Linked DNA regions of Oryctolagus cuniculus. The protein of the gene in region 2 purifies or fractionates together with the protein of the main gene of each other region. This does not show direct contact. Links are inferred from orthologs where the notes say so. Each region holds a gene or a part of one and is shown on either strand. Other genes may lie near its edges.

What was found. Proteins that work in one complex are often made in the same cells at the same time.
Region 1: the proteins of TRERF1 (region 2) and DNTTIP1 purify together in Homo sapiens (affinity purification with mass spectrometry; 3 studies listed by BioGRID and IntAct, with this or other methods). This does not show direct contact. The link is inferred for Oryctolagus cuniculus from reciprocal best matches to the Homo sapiens genes TRERF1 and DNTTIP1.

What each region holds. Positions count from the first base shown.
Region 1 is NC_091442.1:13,583,446-13,587,655, forward strand, and holds part of DNTTIP1 (deoxynucleotidyltransferase terminal-interacting protein 1), read right to left. Parts: intron 3,908-4,210; coding exon 3,849-3,907; intron 3,751-3,848; coding exon 3,690-3,750; intron 613-3,689; coding exon 541-612; intron 1-540. UniProt on the Homo sapiens protein: Increases DNTT terminal deoxynucleotidyltransferase activity (in vitro). Also acts as a transcriptional regulator, binding to the consensus sequence 5'-GNTGCATG-3' following an AT-tract.
Region 2 is NC_091436.1:127,490,553-127,495,191, forward strand, and holds the start of TRERF1 (transcriptional-regulating factor 1), read left to right. Parts: upstream 1-1,548; 5' UTR 1,549-1,787; intron 1,788-1,840; exon of another isoform or gene 1,841-2,012; intron 2,013-2,034; exon of another isoform or gene 2,035-2,220; intron 2,221-2,301; exon of another isoform or gene 2,302-2,375; intron 2,376-2,640; 5' UTR 2,641-2,725; intron 2,726-4,639.

The DNA of each region.
Region 1 (4,210 bases), on a different chromosome or scaffold from region 2:
GCAGGGGTCCGTCCTCAGGGGGAGAACACTGCATGCGAGGGACAAAGCGCCCCACAACAACGATGTTCCTAAGGCTGTCGCTTGCTGTGACCTAGAACTCTAATCAGAGGCGAGTCTGGAAGCAGCTGCCAGGGGTGGCAAACACAGCTACCGACAGGGTGCTGGCTGGTGCGCTGCACTGAGAGAAGATCCTGTAGCTGTGTTTGGGGGAAGGGTGTTGTGACTGATGAGTAAGATCACTCAGTGGCACACGAGGGAACAGTGGTGTGGAGTCTTTCACCCGTCATTCCTATGCAAGCTAATGTGATCCAATGTGTGGTCCAAATACGAAGGCTGGGTGGAAGCGTGGAGGGAGAAAAAGGGAGCCCTAGTGGCAGGGAAAGGAACCTGGGGACCATGGAGAAACAGGCCTTAAAGTCTTCCTTCCCACACGTATCAGGCTTTGGGGGTCTCCAGATTCGGAGAGGAGCTGTCGCCGACAGAGGGAATCTTGGTCCCTGAAGGTGGCCTCTGGCAGTGGCGCGTGGGAACAGTGCTTACCATCTTCCCTCCTGTTGCCCGCATGTGATGTTGCTCAGCCAGCCAGTGCTTGTCCTGGGGGTCAGCTGCATACTGTGGAGAACAGCGTGAAAGGGGAGCCATTAGCCTTGCAGTTCTGATCAGTAAGACCCAGCCTGGTGGACGCAGAAGGCCCAGTAACCCCTTCAGAGCAAGCCAAGCCAAGCCCAGGAGGCCAAGGCATGGGATCCAATTCCCTGAGACTTAGTACACTTCTAATCCCCCTACTGCTTCTTTTCTCGAAACATCTCCCTGGCAACCAGTGGGACAGGTGACCATTACTTTAGAGCCTCCTCTTTTTAAGATTTATTTATTTACTTCAAAGTCAGATTTACAGAGAGAGAGGGAGACACAGACAGAAAGATCTTCCATCTGTTGGTTCACTCCCTAAATGGCCACAACTTCCAGGTTTGGGCCAGGCCAAAGCCAGGAGCTTTTTCTGGGTCTCCAACATGGGTGCAGGGCCCCAAGCACCTGGGCCACCTTCTGCTGCTTTCCCCGGTGCATTGGCATGGAGCTGGATCGCAAGTGGAGCAGCCGGGACTGAAACCAGCACCCATGGGACGCTTGTGTTGTGGGCAGAGGCTTACTCCACTATGCCACATCACCAGCCACTACAGCCTCCTTTTTAAAGTTTTATTTCATCTATTTGAAAGGCAGAGTTACAGAAAGAGAGAGAGAGGAAGACAGAGAGACTTTCCATTCACTGGTTCACTCCCCAAATGGTTGCAATGGCCAGGGCTGGGCCAGGCAGAAGCCAGGAGCTAGACTGGACGTGGAGCAGCCAGGATCCAAACTGGCACCCACAAGATGCTGGCACTGCAGGTGGGGGCAACCTACTCCACTGCAATGCTGGCCTCCCCTTTTAATAAATCATCTGAGGTGGCTTGCAACACCTATGATTACGATTATTACTGCTTCCCAAAGGAAAACCAGACCACAACATGTATGAGCTAAAAATAATAAGCAAAATATCCCACAGGACAAGGACACACACACACGCCCATATCTGTGTTTATGCTCTGCCATGGCTGCGGGTGGTCTGGAGTGGAGGGCAGTCAGGGTCAAGGGTGAAGGAACTCCAGTGTACTCGCTGAAGGTTTTTACACTAAGAATGGGGTCATATTTCTATAACTTAAAAAGTCTAAAAAAGGAAAAGATAAATTCAAATAATGTCTTCTGAAGGACAGAAAAATTGGGCACAAGATGTAATTGGCAGTTTCCAGAAGAAATACAAATAGATTCTAAATGGTTAAGAATGCTTATAATAGAGAACTGTAAAGAGAAAGGGAGTGGTGACTGGGGTGGGGGTGGGGAGGGTGTGTGCCTGACAAGCAAGGGCAAGGTCAGAAATAATTATCCATCAGGAATGAGAGTGTGGGTTGGGAGTTTAGTATGAATGGTGGGCCTTAGAACTGGAAAACTATGCTAACAACAATCAACCTCTACCGAGCCCGTGCCACGTGGCAGGCCTTAAGCCAGTGCTTCCCTGCATTCTCTCTTAATTGACACTAAAAGGTTGGTCTGCCACTCCCGGTTTACACACGACAGAACAATTCAGAACTGAACAGGAATTCAGACCATCCAAGATCCTATCTATAGATGATAACAAAAAAAAATCTCTTGGGGTATGTGGGTTTTTTTAAAACTATTTTTACTTATTTAGCTTAAAAAGATTTATTTATGTATTTGAAAGGTAGAGAGAGAGAGAGAACCTTCCATCCTCTGGTTCACTCCCCAAAAGGCTACAATGACCAAAGCTGGGCTGGTCTGAAGCCAGGAGCCAGGAGCTTCTTTCTGGGTCTCCCACATGGGTGCAGGGACCCAAGCACTTGGGCCATCTTCTACTGCTTTCCCAGGCATATTAGCAGGGAGCTGGATCAGAAGTGCAGCAGTCAGGACTCGAACTGGCACCTGTATGGGACACTGGCGATACAGGTGGTAGCTTTTACCCACCATGCCGGCCCCTAAAGATTTGTATTTATTTGAAAGGTAGAGTAACAAAGAGAGGAGGAAGACACAGATCATCCATCTATTGGTTTAATCCCCAAAAGGCTGCAATAGCGAATGTGAGGCTGGGCCAAAGCCAGGAGCCAGGAACTCCATCCAGGTCTCCCATGTGGGTGGCAGGAACCCAAGTACTCTGGCCATCAGTCACCGCCTCCCAGGCCTATTAGCAGGAAGGTCAACTGGAAGCATGGAGTACCTGGGAGTCAAACCAGACACTCTGTTATGGTGTTGCTGGTGGGCTAAGCAGCAGCTTAGCCCCTGCGCCACAACGCCTGCCCCTGAGTACCTACTCAGGGTCTTAAAGAGTAGTTGGGCAGACAAGGGTTGGGGAGGAAAACAGAACAGCAGGAGTGAAGACACCGAGAGGAGAGAGCGGCAGCAAGCTTGCCAGCCTCTCTAGATGCTGGGACTCCTAGGATCCAAGACTGGAGAAGAGCAAGCAAGTCTGCCAATTTGCACAGAGTGTGGCAGGTACAGTAATTCTGGGACCCTAACGGGGCTGGGAGCTTCTGGCAAGGGGTACCAAACTTTAGGGACAGGAACAAAAAATGTCTGGAACACACATGCGTTTCTATTTTTCTGTTCTTTTAAATACTTTTGTGGCTGATAAAATACACATTCATTTAAGACAATGAGTGAATTTGTGATTTCTCCTGTTATTTCCTCAAACAGCTGCTCCAGAGAGGAGTCCCTCCTTGGAAGAAGGGTAGAGCCCTGCCTTGCGCCACAGACAACTGAGTAAGGTAGGGGTTAAGAGCTCAGGCTTCAGTGTAGACAGACCTGGATTTGAATCCTGACTTGCTGAGTAACTCTGGGCAAATCACTTAGTCTTTCTTGACCTCTGCTTTTTTCAAATTTGTAAAATAAAGATAAGGGATAGTTCCAGGAGATAATGTGTTGTACTTAAAACCATGTTTGCCATACAATAAACATGTAGGCCAAGTAGCCATTGCTACCAGGGCACAGAGCTGTTGAGTAAATTACAAAAGGTACAGGGGAATGGCAGAAGGGACTCCCGACTCCCAGACCAGCGAGTGTCCCGAGCTTCTCCATGGCACGCAGAATTCCCACTGCCACCTACTCCAGGGCAGCGGCCCACCTGCTTCCCGGCACTCACTCACCTTAAAGAGATGTGGGTGCTTGATGTAGATTCTTCCTCTGGTGCCCCCCATCCCTAGAGCCCTGAAAAGGGAAAGACAAGTGGTAAAGATTCCAGCAGGCGCAACTCTAGTAGTAGACCCCCGAGCTGCCACTCCATCAGTGCCAAAGCTTAGACTCACTTGTTGGCTCGAGACCCCAACACAAAAGTGGTAGATTCATTCAGCCGAGCCGGGTCCCACTGCAAAAAACAGAGGCCGGTGAGGGGGGGTTTCATCTGGTGATGGGACAAAGCACTGCCTCCTGTCTTTTCTCCTGGATACACCATTCCCAACAAGCAGCTTACTCAAGAAAAAGAGTACTTAACAATATCCCAGGCCTCATGCTAGATGCTGGGGAAAAGAATAAGACAGTCTAGGGCTAGTGCTGTAGCACAGCAGGTTAAAGTGAGCATCAGAGCACAGGTTCAAGTCTCAGCGGCTCTGCTTCAGATCTACTTCCCTGCTAATGCGCCTGGGAAGGCAGTGGAAGACGGCTCAAGTAC
Region 2 (4,639 bases):
CGCTGACGATGGAGAACCGTTACCCCTCAAAAAGCACAAAAACCTCGGCGGCTTTTGGCGGCAGCCTCCCCCGCGCCCATGACCTCATGCTTTAAGCTCCCATACAGCCTTCCCGCGCCCTGTCCACACCCATGCTCCCGGGTGGGGGTGGGAAAGGGAAGGCGGCGAAGGGCCCGGGAGCGGGCTTTGGGGAGAGGGGCGCAGCGATTTCCCTTCTCGGAGAAAAGGACGGTGTTAACTTTCCCTCGTGCAAAAAAACCCGCTCGCTGTCTCGCGGGTCCTCCAGGGGACACACGCCTCGAACCCCGCTGGAGGTGATCTGCTCACTCAACTCTCCCAGGCTCGCGTTTCCCGGGACCCGCAAAGCCGCCGGGAGAGGTTGGGGCCACGGGGCTGAGTTCTCCCCGGTCTCAGATCCCGCTGGCGGGCGCGCCTTTGCGGGACCCAGGGGCTGTTCTGCCCTCACCCCCCCCTCCAGCACCCCGCCTCTCCCCAGGCCCGCGACGTCGAGGCTGGAACCCTCCGCTCGCCTTTCAGCCCGCGCCCTGCCCCCTGCTCGCAGCTGCTCTCGGGCTGGGTGCAGCGGTTTCCCCCGCAGAGGAGGAGGAGACAGCGCAAGGGAGCGACTCCGGGCTCGGGTTTCCGCACCAATGCCGAGCAGCCCCGGGCGGCCCCCGGCGGCCGGCCCTCCTCCCCGGCACCACGTTCCACAGTCATGGCGCGCGAGGAGGGGCGAGCGCGCGCCCGGCCGCACCCGCGCCCCCGCCCCTCGCCTCGCCGCCGGCCCCGGCCCCTCTCCTAGGCAACCTCCCTCCCCGGCCTGCTGCGCCGCCGAGACGGAGACCCCTCCCCAGAGAGCTGCCTTTCCAGCCAGCGCCGGCTGCAGCGCCCCCTCCCCGCCCCCATCGGGGCGGAGGGATGGAGCCGCGCGCTCCGCGAACCTCCAGCCCCTTCCCCGGAGCCCCAGCCCCTCTCGAGCCCCACTGAGGCCCGGGTGCGGCGGGGGTAGGCGAGGACTGTCTCCTCGCAGCCCGCCCACACCTTGGCATCTTTGCAAACCTATATATATATATAAAATAAAGCACACCCTCCCCCCTCCCGCCCTGCCTCCCCGCCATCCTCGTCCTTAGATTGAAAAGCGCGTTACAATAACCGGGACGGTTACGCAGGAAGCAATCCTGCACTGGTCCGGGTCTAAGGCGGCAGCTTCCCGGCCACGCTGCCGGCTCCCGGGCCTCGATTTTCCGGCCATGCCGGAGAGCCTGCGGCACCGCGGGGCTGACAGGTCCGGCACGGGGCCGCAACTGGGCCCAAGTCCGCCGTCCCATCCACGTCCAGACTTGCCGGGCTACAAAAGGTGCAATCTCACGCACACGCAAGGCGCCCAAATAAACTCGGCAGCGCACCGCTGGGGAGGCTGCGAACAATGCACCCGGCGGCCCGCGCCCGGTGCAGCGCGGCGCCCCGGGGGACAGGGCCTGCGGGCGGGGGCCGAGGCGGAGGACCCGCCGGCCGTGGCGCTGGACACCTTACTTCCTGCTTCCCCGCCCGCGACCAGACCCAGCTCTGCGGAGGGATATCTCTCCCCTCCTCTGTCCCTCTCCCTCCCTCCCTTCCCCCGCCCCCCCCCCCCCAACGCCGTGCTTCGACTACCCCCCCAACACCCCGCCTTTCTCCTTTTGCAAGAAAATAATTTGACAGTCGATTTGCTGACAGGGGAGGAATTTGCATCCTGGATTTAAAAAAAAAAAAAAAGGCCGAGAGGAGCTTGGGAACGGTTGCTAGGGGTGGGTAATGGGTGAAAAGGGGGGGGTGTCGGGGAGCGGAGAAGGAGGGCCGAGGGAGGGGGCGAGGGTGGGGAGCGATGCACAAGGTAAGGCCAGGTTGCGGCGGCCCGGGCCCGAGTGGGCTGCGGCCGGGGGAGGGGCGAGAGATACATATGTATTTCTGTCTCCCCAGCACACCCCCTTGCCTAGCAGCGATGGCTGAGAGGCGGTGCATGCAGATGGGGAGTAAGTTTCCTGAAGGGGCGGGTGGCTGCACGCGCGCAGCCCCGCGCTGCCAATTTCCACCGGGGAGGGAGAGTGGCTGAATGCGGAGAGTTTGGAGTTGCTTGCGGCGGAGGGCAGGCAGGGGAGCAGGGCCGGGGCGGGGGGCTGGCGGGCGCTGTATCTGGGAGTAAGTTTCCAGGATCGGGAGAGCCTGCACGCTTGCTCGCTAGTAAGTTTCTGGCCGGGGAGGGCGCGTGGGGAGGAGGCGAGGGAGGGGTGCATGTATATAGAAGGGGGGAGGGGGGAGCAGATTTCCTGCGGGGAGGCTGAATGCATATGGAGAGTAGATTTCCTGAAGGGAGGGTGGCGGCGTACACGGACCGAGTTAAGTTTCTTGCTGGGGTGGTGGCGGTGGGGTGGTGCTCTGGCGACCCTGAGATTCCCACCCGGGGTGGGGTGGGGGAGCACGCTGTTGGGGGCGGGGGGAGAGGGCGAGAGGCCGGGCTCCCTGCTGGGGAGAGGGGCTTGCATCTGGGGAGTATGTTTCCTGGCGGAGCGATATTTGTTTACAGGCTGAGGGCAGTACTGTAAGTGAGTAGCTCTGCAAGGAGGCCGCTGACATAAATTAATATTGAAATTACTCCATCAGCTCTGCTCGCCCCCCGGCCCACCCCCCAAGAGGAGACTGGTCTTGTGGTCGGATTGCCCATGCACTTGTTGCAGAAACAGCCAAGGTAGGCAAAAAGCTTATTAAGTTTCATTTTGAAAACGTTAGTCGGGGGATGCTCCGTGAGAAGACGGAGGGGGGGTGTGTGTGCAGAGAAGGACATATGCCCCCCACCTGGCCCCCCGCCGCTTTACTTTTCCGTGTGTACGCAGGGCCTGCTCCCCTCTTCCCTCGCTGGGCTGCACGGCATCCCAGCAAGGGGGAGGGGTGAGGTGGCCGCTGTAATTGGCAACCCCGGCCTAAAGGGGGGTGGCAGTGGTGGGCTTGCAGTTGAAGGTTGTGATGTTATAAAGCCTTCATTCTTCCAGCCGAGAAACCGCAGGACCCTGGGGATGTGCCTTTTGGGGTTTCTGACATGATGCATGTGTGCATGTATATGCGCCTGCGGGCCCCGTGGGGGCTGGGTACTCCCCAGAAGTTAGTGCGGCCACCCAGATGGGAGAAACGTGCAAGGTGGGGGTCAGCTTGCCCCCTGGCGCCCCAACTTCGGTTTGGGAGGCCGGGAAGTTGGAGCCGGTGGTCTGCAGAAGTAGGTATTAAAACCAAAACCAAAGCGCCCATGTCCCGGCCGGCCGGCAGAGGCGGAGAGCACCTGGCAGGCGGCCTGTGGCCCGCGGTGGGCTGGATGGAGCATGTGCGCCCGGCGTGCTCAGGTTGAAGGAACGCCTGCGGTGCCTCGGTGTGCCTTCCGCCGGCCGGCGGGAGCCCGCGTTCTGCCCCCGACGGCGGGCAGCTCTGGGGAGCGAACGTGTTGAGACGGGGCGCCTCGCAGTGCGGCCTGGGTTGGTTTGCCAAGTGCGTGGAAGTCGTGCTTGGGAATGACCCTTCCGGGGGACAGCTCGGAACGCGCCCCCTGGAAGCCGAGGCAGGTTGTTCAGCAGGCCCGGGAGCAGAGTTCTGGGGGAGGAGTTCTGTGTTGTCCCAGTGAGTACCTGCCTTCTGCATCAGGTTCCCTCCCCCAGGAAGGAGTTCAGCGTCAGAAAATGTGGTTTTCAGGCCCCCTGGAAGGAGAGGAACAGGAGTCCTCCGGGCTGCCGGCTGGGTAGCCGGCAGGCGCTGCCTCCCCGGCCTGCTTCCTTGGCCCTCAGCCTCCTGGTTCCTGCACAGCAGTAGTTGGTGCTGGCCTCAGGAGCCTTGCCGGTGCTGGCAGCTTTAGCGTTGCCAGGATGGTTTCAGCGCTGGGTTCCGATCGAGAGATACTGGGTGGGGTAGACCGAAGTTGTGTAAGCTTTATTCAGTTCTGTAGATGGGCTCAGTTCTAGAAGGGAAAAACATGGGTTAAAAAAAATCTCTTTCCATGTAACTGATGGACACTGCTTTTTTTTCTCTTCTTCTGTCATCAGATTTCCAGATGAAGGCTTGATATTTGTCAGTTTGAGAACTGAGTTGGTTGTGAATTAAATATTATTGCTACTTATCAAATGATCCTAGCTAGGTATTAGTTAAGCAAATTAGCTATTATTCCCCCCCCCCCAAAGAAAATCTGTTTGCTGCATGTATATGCTGGGGGAGTTGACACAATCTTAATGTGTGTTTATTTCAGGGCAAAATTATTTACATGCCTAACCTCGAAGCCAAAAGCAATCATTCAGGTATATATATATATATATATATATATATATATATGAGATTTATTTTATTGTCTTGGTTTGGCCATTAATCAAGTCACAGTAGCTTTTTTTTTCTCTTCCACGGAGAATGTTCTTGTGGTAATAAAGGTTTGAAGGCCCATGAATCACAATTCATTCTTTTTAAAATATTGTGGTGATTGTCAGGATTTGATTTATAGGAATTGATACCGGGAGTGACACACCTCTTTGGGCCCCGCCCTTCTAGACATGTCCATTTTTGCCAAAGGGCTGTTTAGAAACCAGCTTGACATCTCAAAAAGAGCATTTCCCTTCTGCTTTATAAGCACTGA